Linked DNA regions of Drosophila melanogaster. The protein of the gene in region 1 purifies or fractionates together with the protein of each later gene. This does not show direct contact. Each region holds a gene or a part of one and is shown on either strand. Other genes may lie near its edges.

Region 1 (7,137 bases):
TTTTTGTTGTTCTATCTTTTATCTTTTCTTTTACCGTTTTGTTTAGTAATTATCTTGCTTAATTTAACCGTAGTTAATTGTGATTTGCTAATTGCTTATCTTCAGTAAGTAACCACAGGTTGCAAGGTGATGCACAGACGCTGCAAATCTGTCTAATTTGCACAATTATTATAACCTTGACATAGAACAGGGGGCAATAACATTATCGATGAAAACAACAACAAAAAACCGTTTCACCAAGCGCTGTTTACTTCTTACATTGCGTTGCCAATCTTTTTGAATGTAACGGTAGTTCGGCAACAATATGTTTTCAATCCAAAAATCTATTTACGTATATAAATATAAGCAAACATATAACATAACATATATAACATTTATAACATATATCGTATTTTTTATGCTTTAAAGTTAAGTTCAGACTTATCCAAAAGCAAAACGCCCCAAAATCGCACAAAAATCGCGCAAAAATGAACCAAAGCGAAACGGTAAAATATATTTTATTCAGACGCGTTTTGGACGCGACTTTACGCGTTCGGCGCGTTTTTCGTGCGGTTTGAAGGCGTTTTTTGGCTTGGGATTGTAATATAAAGAACAGAACCATTTAAAATAACTTCTTTAGATACATATTATCAATAGAAGCTAAATAATCTATATTCCCATTTAAAATCATACCTCTAGCAACAGTCCAACACAACGAAAAGTAATAATTAGCTTCCAACAGCTGTTTTAAAATTACAAACAAAATGAACATTCAAGTGCTTAGCATTTGGATTACGATTTATTTAGATTTATTGCTCACGACCCTAGCGAATTTGGTTGGTAAAAGGTCGCGCTTTCCTTATCAATAATGCCCATAAATCTTACAGCAATTAATTAAATAACAATTCGGTAAATAAAGTACCGCTGAAAATAGAAAAACACCAGTCAGGGGGCAAACCTGTATGCCAACCGTCTGCCGATAAGCAATCCATCTCTTGGACCGTTCAGATTCGGACTTGAATTTGGATTCTGTCCAGTCATGGTTCCCAGTACCATGCCCATGCCCATGCCCAATTCCAAACCATACCATACCCATACCATGGTCTGGGTGCAAAGGGCAGCGGGAGATGCGCCATAAATAACTTGGCACTGTGGAGGTCACTTGGGCAGCTGATACCATGGACCACTAGATGCCGCGCCATGCCACCGCATGCACCATGTACTTGGAGATCCATCCTTTGGCACTTTGGCACAGTGGCTCAGATGCGATTTATCGCCGCCGAGCTGCAACTTATCTCTCGTCCAGCGGAAGCATAGAAATGCGCTCAAGAAATGAGAAACATTGAGAAAGTTTCAAGTTTAAAATTTAAATTTAAATTTATCGCCACTCGCCCACTCCTGTGCATTTATTATTGTAGAAATTAACCCCATAACTTTTACTAAATCTGCTCAGCTTAAGTTTCAGTTTTATGATTAGTTAAAGTCAGGTGAAAAGTTAAGTTTAGCCAGCTGAAAATTGAAGTTGATTAGTTAGTTTAATCTTAATGTTGCACTTAAAAACACACAGGTTAAATTTGGTTTGAAAATTTCATTTTTCATTATTACTAAGATACTTTTATAAATTTAGGGAGCCTAATTATTCTGAAAATCATTTCCTAACATTTAGGCTTCAGTTTCTGTTTTCTGTTCAAAAAGTGTTCAAACTTTGAGCTGCTTAAACTCGAAAACTTCTCATTACGCTTTTCAAAACTGTAATGCTGCACTTTCGCAATCTGTTTTGGAATATTTTTTTTTTTGCAATTTGCCATCGGGTTAATTTGCCCGTTGGCGACTTCTGTTGCTCTGTTATCAGGCCGGGCTATCCAGCCCTCCAATTCTCCGCTTATCAGTGGGCGAAGGAGGAGGAGGTGAAGGTGGAGGCGGAGTAGAGGAGGTGGAGGTGGAGGAGGTTTTGGCGAGATTGTGTGTCACGCCCGTGCCAGCTGGGGTATATAAGAATTGGGCCGGATCGGGTGGCATTCAGTTTGAACGCGCTACTCAACGGAGCCGTGTCCAAGGATTCTCGATTCTCTATTCTCGATTCCCCATCTCTCAGCTCAAGCTTAAGCTATCTCCAAGGTAGGTGCTCTCCTGCAAGCGTTCCCCGTTTTTTTTTTTCAAGTGTGTTAAAGTGATGCGAAAAAGAAGGCATAGTTTATACTGAAGACTTTTTCGAAAAAACGGAAGCATTATTAAAATTAAATAGAAATTTATGAGCTTGCACAAATTAAATTTAAATTTGGTAAAAAATATAGCTCGAATATTTTCCTTCTATTAAATGTGCTATTCAAAAACTTTTTCCCTTTTTTTTTAAATTTTTTTTTTTTTTTTGTATTAAAAAAATTTCGAAATGAGAGACTTCAGCACGGATTAAGTACTCAATTATTTTCACATGCTCCACACATCTGAGCAGCTACTTGTGAATTTGGCATTTTCGAACGCTCTTGCCCCACTGTGCCCTCTACATGTGTCCGATAACAGAAGTGCCTGCCAGTGAGCATCTCTTTAAGGTCTCCACTTGACCAATTCAATAACAGCAGCCGAATGACAACAAAAGTCAATTAAAAATCGCTAAATGCCAGGCGCAATCAAACTTAAAAGTTAATCGCAGCATCTGTTGTTGTTGTTGTTGTTGCTTTTGCTTTTGTTGAGTATGTGAGTGTAAGTGAAGGGCATGACGTCACAAGAGCACAGCTGCAACGCACAGTGGAACCATTGCTCGATAAAGCTAACGAAAAATTGTAGCTTTGCATACAGAAAAAAACATGTTAATTGTATGTATTTAAATTGGAAATACTTTTTACTAAATTGATTAAAAATATAAAACCGGAAAGTGGCATATGTTACAATCGAAAAAAAAAAACTCCATTGTGCTCCACCGTCGGCCTTTGGAAAAATTGAACTTAAAACATGGAAATGGAAGTAAATAAATAATCTCGCATTGTGTTCCGCTTGCGATGATGACGATGCCGCCGATTCTCAGCCAGTAATGTCAAGCCCCTGGTCTGGAGGTAATAAAAGCAACTCCGAGCGATGGCTTTGGGCTCAGTTTGGATTCGGAGCCAACGAGCGCAAGATGATGTTACTGATTCCCGTGATTGCAGTGTGCCTTTTCGGCCTAACGGTACTGCGTCTATAAGTAGGACCAACTAAAGAAATTGAAGAAAAAAAGTGTTACGAAAGTCAAGTGTTTGAAACTCTACAAAAAATCGCATATTTAAATGAATATTTAAATTAAATTAAATGATTAATTTAATTGCTCATTGCTCGCATATAAATTATCCTGATAATTCTATTTTATCGCAATGTTGACAGTTTGAATTATTAGTTTTTCGCTTTTGTGCGTAATTTTCTGATTTAATCCTACATCTAAATTCGAATTCTCTGTACTTCTTAATTGTTTAATTCAATTTAAAATCTAATTAAAATGGCAACCATGATAATGATAACCATGAAGTGCTATAATGCATTCCAAATGCCACTTTATATCCACTATAAATCCATATAAAATCAATTAGATGCACTAATCGCAAATCGGTTGTTCCCAATTTCGCCAACAGATGTCGTACAAGGTGGAACCATTGCCCGATTCCTACGCCGGCCTGGGCGAGGGTCCCCATTGGGATGTGGCCAGGCAGAGCCTGTACTACGTGGATTTGGAGGCAGGCAGCCTGCTCCGCTACGACTATGCGCAGAACAAGGTCTACAAGACAAAGATCGAGGGCGAAACCTTGGCCGGATTCGTGCTGCCGGTGGAGGGACGTCCGCAGGAATTCGCCGTCGGCTGCGGTCGACGCGTGGTGATCGTCAACTGGGATGGCGTCTCGCCCAGCGCCAAGGTGGTGCGCACACTGTTCGAGGTGCAGCCACTGATGGAGAAGAATCGTTTGAACGACGCCAAGGTTGATCCCCGTGGTCGCTTCTTTGGCGGCACCATGCGCTACATTGGCGATGAGTTCGAGTTCCGTCACGGCGAGCTGTACCGCTGGGAGGCCGGTGGCCAGGTGTCGGTGATCAAGGGCGATGTGGGCATCTCCAATGGACTGGCATGGGACGAGAAGGCCAAGAAGTTCTACTACATCGATACCACCGACTACGAGGTGAAGTCGTATGACTATGATTTCGAGACCGGCGTGGCTAGCAATCCCAAGGTTATATTCAATCTGCGCAAGAATAGTCCCAAGGATCATCTGCTGCCCGATGGCCTGACCATCGATACCGAGGGCAACCTGTATGTGGCCACCTTCAATGGCGCCACCATCTACAAGGTTAATCCCAAGTGAGTAGTTCACTCTAACATTCGTGATCGAGTGTTAAATGTCGTACTTCATTGCAGCACTGGCAAGATTCTGCTTGAGATCAAGTTCCCAACCAAACAGATTACCTCCGCCGCCTTCGGTGGCCCCAACTTGGACATCCTGTACGTGACCACTGCCGCCAAGTTCGATCAGCCCGCTCCAGCTGGCACCACCTACAAGGTGACCGGACTGAACGCCACCGGCTATCCCGGCGTCAACCTGAAGGTCTAGGAGCTGCAATCTCTATCTATCCTTAGCCGCAGTAAAATGTACCAATCGAATCCAAGTGCAATTATATGTTATGCTCTTTAACGTTTTAAATCGCGTCTATCAATGTTTTGCATGCTAGTTAGGTTATCCTTTTTTGCAGTTCTAGTTCAAGGTCAGCTTAAGGATCACATTCTCTCCTGGGAATATCCAGGATCATCATGTAAACTCACAAAGAGGTTGACTATGCTCTACTTTACTCTGATTTCAAACAACAATCTTATCAGCCGCAGACACACGGTAATCATCCGCGGATCTTATGGTCATTTGGAGGACGCAGTGCTCTTATGCTTCTTTATTAATCAGTGGTTCTATAAACAATTTTATACTTATCGTCTAGTCTAAAATTAAAGATAGCAAGGTGGCGTAAAAAATCAGTCGATGTTTTGGTGAATGGAGATCATCCACTCAATTTCGGTGTAGATAAACATCTGCATGACCGTCTATTCATCAGACTCCGATTCCGATTCGGACTCTTCTTCATCGTCATCATCGTCGTCGTCATCGTCGTCGTCGCTGCCGGCGGAGCGATTTAGCCGCAGCATCTCCTGGAACTGGTGTACACGGATCTTTTGCGGCACGATCTGCAGCAGAAACTCCAGATTCTTGTTCTTATTGACCACCTGGGAGAGATGCTCGTACTTGAGCGCTTCGCCCGGTCGCTGGCCGAATTCCTCCGTGTATGCCGCGCCCGCCAAATGGCGAACGAATAGCTCCGTGCACTTGGTCATCAGGAAGAGCACCTCGTTGGTGATCAAGCCCGTGTCCATGGAGCTCTTCATGATCGTTCGCACGCGGCTGAGGGGCAGAAAGGTTTCCGCGGTCGGTGGACGCTCCACGGGTGGTTGGCTCCTTGGTTCGCCCATTTGTTTACTTAATTCCCAAGCAAACTATGGCTTGGGAATTTTTTTGGTTTTAGAGCTGGGCTCACAAGTGGAGCTGTGAAACTATCGATGTTACAATCGAGGCATGAAATTCGTACCTTTCTGAGACACTATCGATTCTTTTTTTTTATTTGCTATCGATGGTTATGGTTTATGAAGACTTAAAATAAGTAACCGCAGGGCTTCCCTTAAAACGAACAATGCTGGCATACTTCTATTTTTGCAAGGAATTGGATGTGCACAATAATATATGTGTTACTTTCTCAGAATTAAGTTATAGCGCTAAATATATAAAAATTGAGAAACCCATTCGGATTTGCCTATACTTTCAGCTCTAGCTGGAGCGGGAATTTAACCAAATAACGTTGCGCCGATATGCTATCGGTAGCCACAACAAGTATTTAATAAAAGTTTTCCAAATATTTCAATTTATTAGTGGAAAAACCGCTCTAAGCAAATACCTTTAACTTAATCAAGAGATTAGGGGTAAAACGATTAGGATCTGCACGATTTATAAGGAAACATTCAATTGCAACAACATTTAGACAAGTCAATATTATCTACTTTTGTCTTTTCAGTATGCAATCAACTTTGGATTTTCACACTTATAGCTTAAAAATCTGTCTTCATTTTCGAACTCACATATAAATAAATATCAATAAATTATTATTGCACTTGATTTGTTTGCAGCAACGTTGCCAGACTTCCGTAATCGATGACTATCGAACCTATCGCTGCGCGGCATGTGCAACACTGCGTTTTCTGCTGCCCCCTTTTGGCTGTTGTTTCGTGTGTTGACCAATAAATTTTTCGCGTACTTTTCCAACTTTTCAATTACCGAACCGCAATTGCCGCCAAAATAGATAGCCGATAGCTAGTCGAGCGAGTAACCAGCGAGTTTTTGGCCAATTCACGCGACGATCAGGGGCAGTGGAAGCAGGAGCAGGATCTCGACCAGATCGCCAGGAAGCGACATTTCCATTAGAGCGGTTCAAGTGAAAGCGAGTGAGCTGCACGGCACGAGAGAACGAGACAGACAGACGGCGAGAGTGAGAGCGAGCGAGAGAGCTAGTTAAATCCTTTCGAGAATTCCAGGAATTCAAGCATCCAAAACAGCTGCTGCTGCCGCAAAATCATCAACATCATCACCATCGCTGTTTGTGAAACGTTGTTCAAGCAACGGCGTGCCAACAAACCAGTATCGACATTTAGATCTAGATTCGAATCCCCTATCCACATAGCTTGTGGGTGCACTTTTCCAGTTGGCCAATCTCAACCAGCAATTAAAAATGGCCGCTGCCGCTGCGAGCGCAGTGAATGCAGTGAACGACTGCTTCAGCATCGGATCCACAGTCGTCTGTACGACCTGTTTCAACGAGGAGGTGGAGGGCGAGGTGCTGGCCTTCGATCACAACACAAAGATGCTTATCCTGAGTATCCTTTTGCAACGAAATCCCCGAAATGCATACCCACACACACACACAACTTGCCCGCCGGGTGAAAGCGAGCACTTTCTCCGGCTGTCCACAGGGATCTCTTGAGCTGTCTGGACAAAAAGTCACACTGTCCTTTAGATTCGTATATAATTCTAATTCACACTCATCTTAACTGATAGCATTCACATATCACCTATCTCTTATCAAACCCATTGTTTACTGCTTGACAATTTG
Region 2 (4,550 bases), on another chromosome or scaffold:
TGATGGACAGATAGAGCTTCTTCAGCTGATCGATCTGGAACAAAAGGATGCATATGCTGCCCACCACAATGAAGCTTACGGGATACACGAGCCGTGCGACGACATGCTGAGCATAGGCGTCCGCTAGGAAAATCGGAAACATCATATGTGCCATGACATAGGGTATGGCCAGGGCCAGACCAATGGTAGTAACGACCGGCACAGCCAAGTCTCGCATCACAAACTTCAAGTCGAAATCGCGCAATCCATCCATGTAGGCTCGATCTAATGCACGCTTCAAGTGCCAATCTGGGCCCATCATCGTCAAGGCGATGGCTATCTTGCAGTAGAGCACTCCCAGCGCCCAATCCTCCCATAGGAAGTGGATTGGTGTCTTGCGTAGTGGAACGCGTAGGGGAATGACCACCGCCAACTCGATCAGCAATCCAATCAGCAACGGAACCAGCACGAAGATTCCCAGGAGTGTTAGAACGGGCAGGGCATATTGCAATGCCACTCGGACCCAGTGCTTTATCTTGTCGACAATAGCCGCGCGGCCTTGTGGCAGCAGGGTGACCACCGCAGCTACTACCCGGCAGACAATCCAGCACAGGTAACCACCAAGCTCAGCGGTGTACAGCTCATGCGAGCGCAGTAGTCGCTCGTTCTTTCTGGCTCCTTCCGGATCGATTGGATCTAGATTTTCAACCACTTCGCCCGCTCCTTCTGCGGCTGCCGCTCCAGCTGCCTTCTCATCCGGCTGGGAGGACCAGATCAACATCAGCCGCCGACCGATGTAGACTGGAACCGTGAGCGTCAACATGGCAGCACAAACGATGGACAAACACATGAGTGCCAACAGGGCACACAAACGTAAAGCGAACAGCGATGGCTTGTCGTACGGCTGGAATCCCACGGGTGCATCCCGTTGCATGATGGCCTGATGGGCGGCGGCAAGGTTTCGTGGTGCCGGCGCCGGTTCCACTGGCGGTGGCGGTGGAGGAGGTGGTGCTGGTGGTTGGGCTGCCGCATCCGCTGCCTCACCTTCCTGGTTTTCATTTTCGCCAGCGGCATTCTCCACGCCTTCTTCTCCAGCAGCGGGAATTTCCGGTTCCGGCTCCGGTGCTGGGAGCAGGTAGCTTCGTATGCCCAGCAACCAGGCCACCGCTGTGCACCAAATGCGCAGCAAGCCCTTTAGCCAGATGCGTGTTTGGGTCTGCTCGAAGAAGCCCGGCAAAACGATCTGGAATGGCGAGTTTAGATTGTTTAAGTTATTCAAATAAGTTTGCGGGTAACTTACTTGTAAGAGCAGCAATTGCAAGTTAACCGCTGAATCGCCACTAAGTGCATATGGCAAGAAGTCCGGACAAACCACCTGCAGAATTCTAATGGGCAGCCAGAGCATCAAGAGCACTGCAAATCCAAAGATCATAGCCGAAGCGACCAGCCGCCGGATGTGTCTCACAATTGGTACATGGATCATTTCCTGGATGGGACTGAAGTCAGGATCGTTGACATTGCGGAATATCCAGAGCACTCCCGGTCGCAGCACCTCGCGCAACAACGATACAAACGCAGCGAAGTAGTAAACGTATACCATGCCAAACATCCAGTGGACAAAAAGTGAGGTGCCCGGAGCAGCCTTAAAACTCTCTTTACGATCCTTGAGGCTGGCATCTAGTAGGGGCAACGAACAAATGTCCAGCCACCAGCCGCAAATCAGCGGGAGTACTCCGATCTCCAACACCGACAGCAGCGACACCTTGACCACAATATAGCACAATCCAATGAACCAGCAGACTCTCCGCAGGCGGAAAACTCTGGAGAAGAAGTGCAGCACCACCAGGGTCAATCCAATGCAGCAGTAACCAAATAGCGTGGTAATCAGGCCGTGAAAGTGTAGCAGTGGTTTCTCGGGCTGCAAAAGATCCATGGAGCTCAGAATGAAGTTGCCCACGCAGTAGGGACAAAAGGCGAAGGTGAAGATGAACATGGTGTTCAGTGAGATGATCCAGAAGACGTGCTCCAGAAAAACTAGCGAGCCATCGAGTCCGAGCAGGCGTTCCCAGGTAAGCTCCTCGGCAGCCCGATCCCACTCCATGGGATTCCAATTCTGCTCATCGGCATCGGCGTCCACGACGGGAGCTGCAGCCGCTGGTGCGGCATCCTGGGCCTGGGCATCCTGCCCATCGTTGTCCGCTGGAGCCGGCGCTTCATTGTCGTCGGCATTGTTGTTGTCGTCCTGAGGCTGTGGAGCTGCCTCGGCGGCGGGATCAGGCGCAGGATTAGCAGCCGCTGCCTGTAGAGGGGCATCGTCCCGCTCCAGCCAATCGGGTCCGCCGCCATGCAGGATCTGCTCGCGCAGCCAGACCAATCCTATGAAGGACAAAAGTGTGCATGTGACCACAAAACAGCCCCGAAAGGCATCCGATGCCAGGTTTTCAACGGAGAAGATGTCAAAGGGCAGCGTGAGAATCATATCGAAGGAGCTCGCCCGGAAGAGGTACCGATAGGTCCTGTAGGCAGACAGCGGCACCACTCCGAACCAGGCCAAACCGACCAGGGTGTAATGAAGCCAGCAGCGAGCGCCCTCCAAAACGGCGGACATCAGTCCCACAAGGACATCCTTTATCGGCAGGACTCGCGGCATATCCGGAGCATAGATGGGCTGAAAGCTGAAGCTGTAGCTGCACAGCTCGCAGTATTCCTTGTGCGAGTAGCGCATCCATAACATCAGGCAGTCCTGATGAATGTACTTGATCGATCCAGTGCAGATGCACGGGTAGAAAAGAGGCCTATCCGGCTGTGCCTCGCATCTGCACACGCGGCAAATGTCGCCCTGCGACAGGTCGTCCATACTGATAACTTTTTCCCGGATCCTGGGTCTTCAGTTTGACTGAATTACTAAAGTTCCACTGGTCATTTGCGAAATTCGCTGGACAATTTCCGTAATTGACCCGAGGGTACGGGGGTTTTAAGACGATTATACCCGCCTTTTATGTGCGCCAATTAACCTTTCGATGATTACGGACCGTAATGCGATTGTAACACTTGAATTTTAACCGAAAAGTTGGGATATTATTACGACAAAACAAAACAAGACTACTTCTCAAAAAAAGGAGAGCCAATGTGTGCACACCATGAAATTGCTGATTATTTTCTCAACGGAGATGCCAACTAGTTCGATAGATTGAGAGAACGAAATATCGTTATTCATTTTTTAATCATAAATTGAAAATTAAAAAAGATTACATAGTTATGGTTAATAAATATAAGTTTTTAACTTAAATAATATAAAACAAAATTATCATGACCGGGAAGTAACAGTTAATGAAACAGTGTGTGCACACATCATTAGGCAATACCAATCCATCTGGCAACCCCACCACACTCATTGTTGTTGTTCTGATTCTCTTGTCATTATTTTGCAATCAATCGCTGAACTTTTTGCACTGAGAAATTGTAGAAAATAAGCCATGCAGCGACAGATTATTAACATTCTGGGACAGACGACGCGTCGCCTGGCTAGCGGCCAGCAAATTCGCATGCTGTCAGTTTCTGCGCCGCGACAGGAGATCTTCAAAGTCCAGAGCGCCGAGGACTTTGACAAGAAAGTAAAGAACAGCCAGCAGCCCGTGATTGTGGACTTCTTCGCAACGTAATTTTTATATTTTCAATTTGAGGACATGGCAAATTAATGTTTATATTGTAATCCACCAGCTGGTGCAATCCCTGCAAGCTGCTAACCCCGCGCATCGAGAGTATTGTGGGCGAACAGGCCGGTTCCATCAAGCTGGCCAAGGTGGACATAGATGAGCACAGCGAACTGGCTCTGGACTACGATGTGGCCGCCGTGCCCGTGCTAGTGGTGCTGCAGAACGGCAAGGAGGTGCAGCGCATGGTGGGACTCCAGGACGAGGACAAAATCCGGGCCTGGGTTGCCGCCGCCGTCAAACAGGCCAAGTAATAATTGAGAAATCCCAAAAAAAAAGTGGAGGTTGACCTCCTCGCAAATAAAGCTGAGCTTTAGGTTAATTCGGACTTTCGAAATAAATGTTTATTTACCCGTTGAAACGAAAAGTACTACGATTACACACTAAAAACTAAATGGAAAACCAGCCCGGCGTGCCGGGTCGCTTCTTGTTCCTGTCCAGAAATCTGCGGAAACCGGCTTTCGATTCATCCAGCGACTTTTCCTCCTTGGCCTGCTTCTCAGCCTTTTCGGAAAAGAAGTCGGGGAAGACAAAGGACTCCTCCCTGGGCTGGAATACACAAATATCATTGGAAATATCCATTGAATCAGGGGCTTGTAGTGGGCCATACCAATGTTACATAAGCCAGCTTCACGTCGTCTTTTTTGGTGATGTAGCCGTAGGTCTGATCCTTCTTGGTCTCGCCCATGGCAATCCGAGTACGCACATCCACCACCGGCAGCTTGTAGATCTTCTCCAGATAGTTACGCACATCGTACTTGGTCATTTCCATGGACACCGAAAAAGTGACCACATTGGGTGGCTGTTCCTCCGTGGGTCGGATTAGCTTCATCCAGAAGTTGGGAAGGAAAACGCGAA
Region 3 (7,667 bases), on another chromosome or scaffold:
TGGAATTCTACTCGTATCTAGATGCCCACTTGACTTGGGCTGTTTTTTTAGGCATTTATACCGTGTAATAATAGGGAATGGGGGTGCACAGGGTATCGTTGGGGTATGATGGGTGTAGCGAGCGTATGAGGGGAGTGATAAGAACTGGCCAAGAACGTGGCCAATTGATATGAAAATCGCTATACCTCACGTTTTCGGACGATGTTTTTTTTTTTTGAAACATTCTTTTATTTATCTTTATTAAACGTTAAATGGGATAAATTGAAGTGATTAACTTAAACTCCTTAAATTAAGGGATTCTTGTTAATAGTTCCGTACTTCGTGTTTTCTAGGTCATCTCCTAGTCCTATGCCCTTAGAGCCGAAACTCCTTTATTTTTTTCCGGTTGCTTAGCTGGCACATTTTTCCCCGACTGCCGCTGCTGGTGTGCACCTGCTTTTCGGGAACAGGACGCGCGTCTTTTGACCGCAATCGTTGCCAGGACTGGCCTGGAAAGCAAAACCAAATAGCGCTCTTACAAGCCAGGTCGCTTAACTGTTTAGCCTGACGCGCTTACATCGCAGGGGATCGCACTTATGGCTTTTGAGGACGCGACGAATTATCCTGCAGAGCGTGTGCCAAAAAAACAAGAAACCGCAGCCCGCTGCTTTACACAAATCGCAAAGGCAAAACGAATCCGAGCCCCACTCACTTCGTCCTGGCACGAAACCACTTTCGTTTATTTTAATTTGGCTTGCGGTCAAGGGGATCGGTGCTTTGGGGGATTGGGAATGGGAATGGGGACTGGGGAATTGGCAGCCAGCCTGCTGCAATCTGACAAGAGCCTGCTGCATTTAATAACTGTTTTCGTTTTTGCCGCTGTTTTCTTATGCCCTACAAAGAGGAGCCACCAGCTTAAGCAGAGGGCTTTTAAATATCTTTATAATCAATGCTATACAGCAAATTTATCTTTCATGATTTGTTGTAAACGCTCATTCTTTGGTGAGAAATCCAATAAATTCTTAAAACTCTTTATTCTTTTTTAGCCCTTAAGAGTTTTAAATCCTAAAGCGTATCATTTAAACATGTATAAGGAAGATCCATAACTCCTTTTTAGATTTAAGAACAAGCGTAAATTAGCATAACTTGGCTGGTTTTTAATAAACAACTTTTTCGCTTCATTAAATAAAAGCTACCCGCAAAAGGGGATTCACGAATCGGCTTAAAATAAGATGACTCCTGGTGCTTTTTTATATCCCAACGCGTCTTCCCGTGTCTGCAAGACGGAGCCCCCGAGTGCTCACGACTTGGTCGTGGTATAGGAGTCAATGGCAATCCCGTTTTGTGGTGCACGTGCCACAATTTGCAGCTTGCCACGAGATGTTCACCGGTCGTTCCAGCTCTTATCTCGCAAAACAACGCGCCTCGGACTTAATTAATTTTTATTTATGTTAACGAGGACTTTGCTTTTAGTTAAATCAAAGTATAGGGTTCAGATGCAGATCCTTTTCGACTCAAGTTGAACTTTTGGTTTTTGTATGCTAAAAAGGACGCTTTTGTTTGATTGAAGCCTAACTAATTTACCGAGAAACGTGGGTCTTTTTGATGAGATCTACCAGACTTCGAAATTCATACCTGTTCTTATGTAATAAGTTATTATTTAGTATAAGTTTCTTTATTGATATTTTAGATCAGTTCAATTGTCAATTTTTATTCGCCTAGCAAAGGATATTCTTAAAATCATAATTTATATAAATACAATTTTCTCCATTTGACATATTTTCTGAAAAAGTCAACAAAGCCCAAAAACAAAACAAAACGAAATGATTTTTGTTGTATTTTTTTTTATTAAATTTAATTTAATAATTCTGAATTCAAACCCGTACAATTCTGTACATCTGTAAAATTTTACATACATCATACGTTTTAACGTTTGCAGCGACATCTAGTGGTGGTCTGGATTTTCCAAGTTCAAATGTAGAGTTCTCTTGGTGTTTTCCGATTAGGTGATCCTCAAGTGATTATCAACCATTCTTATTGCAATGTATTTAAACAACTTTAAAGGTTTATTTCCTCTTAAAAATATGTGGTTAGAAAAACAACTAAAAAAGTTTAAGAGTTCAAGCCGAGATAATATTTTAATAAATCCAAAAAATCACTGCTTTTCATTCCGTACCTTAATCCCTCACTCTCGACTTGTATAACTTATTTTCGAAATACAATGCACAATATCACAGGCTATTTTCGATTAGTTTCAGTTCTTTTATTCCATATAGGGTTGGACATCATGCTCCATGCGAGCGGCCTCAGTTTCTGCACCCACGGCGCAGGCTAGTAGTGAGTTGACCGTCTGCTCCTCACCTGCCTTGTAGACGTATCCATTAGCCTTGTCGATGTGATTGCGCAAGCGGAGCATGCTGTCCGTGCTGAAGACGTCCAGCAGTTGGAACGAAACGAGAGCGTAGTCCTCCACCATGGAGCAGATGGCTGCATTCAGTTTTCGATACTTGCGCATGGCGGGATCATCGTCCAGTTTGTCCAGCAGATACTTGAGGTCCAGGACGTCCGTATAATAGTCCACGTTAAAGTGTAACTTGGTCTCGTGCTTCTTTAGCAGATCGGCCTTGGAAAGCACATTAACGTGGGGTAGACTCATCCGCAACATGGTGTTCAATGCCATCAGCAAAGTGGCAATGAATTTGGCAGGCTCCGAGCAGTAATGGGAATCTATAAGGTTAACGGTGACCAGGCTATATCTTTCACGCTCCAAACGCTCGAAAATCCGGGCCATAGCGTTGTGATGGGTATATAGCTCAACTTGGCCGGGACAGTCGAACAGGAAGTAGTTGTAAGTGGCGCTTAGTTTGCGCAGTGCCGGCAACAGCCAATCCTCCAAATGGTCGGCCAGATACTCAGCGCAGTGCATTAGAGCTCCGTTTGGTCCCAGCTTCAGGTGCTCCATGCAATCCTCCACAGTGATTAGCTCCATCACACTTAGCACCGGTTCGTAGGACATGTTTTCGTTGGCTGGATCCAGATTCACAACGCCCACCTGACGGCCCAGTTCGCGATAGAACTTAAGGGCCTCACCGCAATAGGTGGTTTTCCCAGAACCAGGAGGTCCTATGATTAGCTGTCCATAACGTGGATTCTCCACGGTCGCCTGCGTCGGAAATCTTTGCATCATTCTTGCGGAAAATGAAAAATATAAACAATGGTAGAGGTGGGGAACCACAGAGACCGATTAATTTATTTGGCGCAATTTATCGATATTTAGATAGTTTTTGAAAAATATACATTTTATTAAATTAGATAAAAATACAATTTTGATTATATATTTCCTTTTCAAATATAGGAAATTGAAAACTCAATCCCAAAAAAAAAAACAATTTTTTAGTGTATAATTAAAAACGGTAGCAATTAGTAGTTACTGTTAGTATAAAACACAGAACAATATATTTTTAATTTCCTTCCAGTTCACTTCGCTGTTAAAAAGGGGTAAACGCAGCGCAAAGTCGATATAAAGCAAAGAAAAAACCATCGATGACGACGATGGTGAAAACATCGATCTTAGCCCACCACTAATCGTCGGCGAACTTGAGTTTGGTGTTTTCATTTATCCGCGGAATTTCGCACTAATTAGTAAAGGCTTCAGGAGCACCGAGAAATCACCAGAATGGCACAACCCCAACCACCGGCGTACGAAAACAGTGAGTTGGAATCCCACAGAGATAAACTGGAGTCATGAATCCGATCCCACTCCGAATGTGATACGTAGAGAGGGGGATGAGTCAACAGGCGAAAAACGGTAAAAGCAGAAAGCAATCGCCGGAAGCACCGTGATTATGCCCATAAATGGGCATAGATGCATATGAAAGACCTTTTTAAGCAGTAAGAGGAGGCGCGTGTGGAGCCGTTGGAGCGACCCCGTTCCCGTTCGCTCCCCAAAAACGAAGCCGCACCCTATTTTCCACCCACTCCAATTTGCCGGCGTTATCTGAGTAGCAGCAGTCACAGCCCATTTCTAATCGAAATAATCGCTTAATTGCAGAAAACATCTACGCAACTCTGCCGCGCACCCAACGCGGCCAACCCATCGTTTTGGGTGCCGATCCCAAGGGCAAGAACTTCCTGTACACCAATGGAAACTCTGTGATCATCCGGAACATCGAGGTAAGCTGATATATGCTGCAGCCTGCTGCTCCGTTCCTGCCATAAATCCATGGCATTTACGTCCAAATGGTGTTTTATTTTTGGACAGGCTGCAGTTTCTGTTGCCAGTTTGTGTGTGCTTTCTGGCTTTCGGGCAGCTGTTCTATATTTATTTATATATATATGTACAGTATATAAGGCGCAAAACACAGATTCCCATTCCACAGGCCAACCGGCAAAACACAGACTGGCACATAGATACATTTCTTGTTTGCCGCCCACGCATCATCATTATGATGTTTTCATCTGGTCAAAGTGATTCTTCACAGCAGCTATGTGTTTGCCTATCTTTCACCCATTGAATCGGTATAAATTCAAAATATTTCCATGTTTCTTTGTCTTTTGTCCCGATAATCCCGCCACTTCTATGGTATCTTTAATGATCAAGAAATAAAATCTTCCGCCAAAAGATATTCAGGTTCTGGAAAATGAAATGTTAATGAAGGAAACATACATAACAAATTCAAAACCAAACACCTATGTTCATAATTAGGATCCCATTTACCATTAATTTGTTTTAATTTGCTAAAAGTGTCTCTAAAATATGTATGTATGCTTTTCCCTTTCTTCCGCACCATAGAATCCAGCCATTGCCGATGTCTACACGGAGCACTCGTGTGCAGTGAACGTGGCCAAGTACTCGCCCAGCGGATTTTATATTGCATCTGGTGGTAAGTCTCGCCCAGCAATTTCACACTTGGAGCACCCGGCTTTCGGCAACAGAGCATAAAAATCGTGACCACTATGAGTCACGCCACGGTCATGATTAGCATTTCCTTATTTGGAGCGGTTTCTTTATCTTATCTGCGGTTTTGAAGCGAGCAATGTTATTTATTTGGCTTTCTCCTCTTCTCACCAGACGCCTCCGGCAAGATTCGCATTTGGGACACGGTCAACAAGGAGCACCTGCTTAAAAATGAGTTCCAGCCCATTGCAGGACCCATCAAGGATATTAGCTGGTCGCCAGACAATCAGCGCATCGTTGCCGTGGGTGAAGGACGCGAACGTTTCGGTCATGTCTTTATGTCTGAAACCGGCACGTCTGTGGGCGAGATCAGTGGCCAGTCCAAGTCTATTAACTCGGCGGACTTCCGGCCAGCCAGGCCATTCCGCATTGTTACGGGTGAGTTCACATAATAGTCCCAAAATGCAATAAACTTACTTACACACACACACTTGTTATTACAGGCAGCGAAGACAATACTATCGCCGTGTTCGAGGGACCCCCGTTCAAGTTCAAGATGACCAAGCAGGATCACTCTCGCTTCGTCCAGGCTGTGCGCTACTCGCCCGATGGCAAATTCTTCGCCTCCGCCGGCTTTGATGGCAAAGTCTTTCTGTACGATGGCACCAGCTCTGAACTGGTGGGCGAATTTGGATCTCCTGCCCACAAGGGCGGCGTTTACGCATTGGCCTGGAAACCAGACAGCACCCAACTGCTAACCTGCTCCGGCGACAAGACGTGCCGCCTTTGGACAGTGGAGTCGCGCGAGCTGGTTAGCGAGTTTGTGATGGGCACCACTGTGGACGACCAGCAGGTGTCCTGCTTGTGGCAAGGAGACAACCTAATCACCGTCTCGCTTTCGGGCGTGATCACCTACCTCAATGTGGCGGATCCCTCGAAACCGCTGCGTGTGGTGAAGGGCCACAATAAGCCCATCACCGTGCTGGGACTGAGCGATGACCGCAGCACCATATACACGGGTAGCCACGATGGCGTGGTGACCAACTGGAACTCGGGCAGCGGCACCAACGATCGCATCACGGGCACTGGACACGGAAACCAGATCAACGGCATTGCCGCCTGGGGTGACTTTGTCTATACCTGTGGCATCGACGACAGCCTACGCCAGTTCAGCGTGGAGGGCAACTCCTACACGGACTATGTGGTGAAGCTTAACTGCCAGCCACGTGGCTTGGCCATTTTGCGCAACGAGAACATCATTGCACTTGCTTGCATCAAAGAGTTGACTCTCGTGCAGGACCAGAAGAAGATCTTTTCGCTGCCCATTAAGTACGAGGCTAGCTCGATTGCCGTTAATGCGGACACTTCCGATGTTGCTGTCGGCGGGGATGACCAAAAGTTGCACATCTACACCCTGAAGGGCGGAGTATTGGAGCCCAAAGTGGAGCTGGATCACTTGGGAGCTGTCACGGATGTTTCTTATTCGCCGGACTTGAAGTATTTGGTGGCTTGCGATGCCCATCGCAAGGTGGTGCTCTACTCAGTGGAGGAGTACAAGGTATTAAGGAATCATAAATGTCTTAATTCCATTACTAATCGAGTGTATTTTAAAAGCCTGCACACAACAAGGAGTGGGGCTTCCACAGTGCTCGCGTAAATACGGTGGCCTGGTCGCCCAACTCGCTGCTGGTTGCTAGTGGATCATTGGACACTACTATCATTATCTGGTCCGTGGCCAATCCGGCCAAACATACTATCATCAAGAGTAAGTATTTCAAAAAGAGTAGTAAGCTTTAAGCGATATCTGACATATTGTTTTCTGCCCACTCCAGATGCCCATCCGCAGTCGCAAATCACTCGGTTGGTCTGGCTGGACAATAACACTGTGATCTCCACCGGACAGGACTGCAACACCAAGGTGTGGCACGTGGAAAACATTTAAATGCGCCGGCCGTGAAGCATATTTTTATACTTATCCAGGGAGAGCAGCCAGCAGCGCCCTGGCTTCATTTCATTTAAGTGCAACAGTTTACATTTAGATATTTATGTCTTTTTCCCCGCCCTCCCCGCACACCTCATGTCATGTCTTTAATTTTAAGCCAAAAGTGTTTGCTAATCATCATATCATGGATATTCAACTACTTTGCCCCACTATCATTTTCGTATGTGTTTTTCGAACAATTTTTATACTACTGGAACTACGAACTACGAAAGGAAACACAAAGATATGTAAAGTACGCCAGCGTACATAAATTATTGTATTATGAAATGAAATATACTAGTTTTTGCATAGCTCGCCGATTACTTTTCTCCATTTGGTTGCGATCGGGAAAATTAGCTAAACACGCACAATTTCTTTGGCTTCTTAAACATTTATTCCTTTGAAAATTGTGTTTTTTTTTTTTTTTGGTTTGGTAGGTCTTCACCCTGTCTTTTTGTGTGCAAGTGTGTGTGCGTGTTCAGGTGTATAATTACAATATTTATAAAAACTTGGCTTAGATTACTAGAATGTGTGGACGTGTGCTTGTGAGAGAGCGTGAAAGCGAAAGGATTGTGTTTGTAACTTGCAGTTTGAGAGCCTCGGAGGTTGCTAAAGTTTCAGAAAAAATAAACGTAAATTGTGCTAAACGTAAGTACATAAATTAAGATAGCTAGAAAGGCGCTCGAGTGCAGAAGACGAAAAACGAATTGCGCTAATTATCACAGCCGGGTCTAAGACGTTGGTTTCGGTGGGACTAAAAGTTGACATATTCATATGTTGGGCACCTCATGAGTGGGTGATGAAAATTGG

What was found. Proteins that work in one complex are often made in the same cells at the same time.
Region 2: the proteins of regucalcin (region 1) and CG8993 purify together in Drosophila melanogaster (affinity purification with mass spectrometry, with the first as the bait; one large-scale study listed by BioGRID). This does not show direct contact.
Region 3: the proteins of regucalcin (region 1) and flr purify together in Drosophila melanogaster (affinity purification with mass spectrometry, with the first as the bait; one large-scale study listed by BioGRID). This does not show direct contact.

Annotation. Positions count from the first base shown.
Region 1 is NC_004354.4:12,012,425-12,019,561, forward strand, and holds regucalcin (regucalcin), read left to right. Parts: upstream 1-3,058; 5' UTR 3,059-3,094; coding exon 3,095-3,142; exon of another isoform or gene 3,143-3,200; intron 3,201-3,578; coding exon 3,579-4,297; intron 4,298-4,354; coding exon 4,355-4,547; 3' UTR 4,548-4,634; downstream 4,635-7,137. Other genes in the region: Chrac-16 (chromatin accessibility complex 16kD protein), read right to left, coding at 5,027-5,449; Lsm12a (LSM12 homolog a), read left to right, coding at 6,757-6,901.
Region 2 is NT_037436.4:2,368,827-2,373,376, forward strand, and holds CG8993 (uncharacterized protein), read left to right. Parts: upstream 1-3,372; 5' UTR 3,373-3,455; coding exon 3,456-3,637; intron 3,638-3,699; coding exon 3,700-3,946; 3' UTR 3,947-4,050; downstream 4,051-4,550. Other genes in the region: CG1317 (uncharacterized protein), read right to left, coding at 1-1,222, 1,280-2,836; mRpL23 (mitochondrial ribosomal protein L23), read right to left, coding at 4,083-4,241, 4,303-4,550.
Region 3 is NT_037436.4:13,409,287-13,416,953, forward strand, and holds flr (flare), read left to right. Parts: upstream 1-3,556; 5' UTR 3,557-3,655; coding exon 3,656-3,689; intron 3,690-3,719; exon of another isoform or gene 3,720-3,765; coding exon of another isoform or gene 3,766-3,787; intron 3,788-4,030; coding exon 4,031-4,152; intron 4,153-4,771; coding exon 4,772-4,862; intron 4,863-5,050; coding exon 5,051-5,314; intron 5,315-5,379; coding exon 5,380-6,434; intron 6,435-6,490; coding exon 6,491-6,641; intron 6,642-6,708; coding exon 6,709-6,818; 3' UTR 6,819-7,167; downstream 7,168-7,667. Other genes in the region: CG10222 (uncharacterized protein), read right to left, coding at 2,243-3,166. UniProt on the Drosophila melanogaster protein: Induces disassembly of actin filaments in conjunction with ADF/cofilin family proteins. Together with GMF, promotes Arp2/3-nucleated actin filament array disassembly. Essential for organismal and cell viability.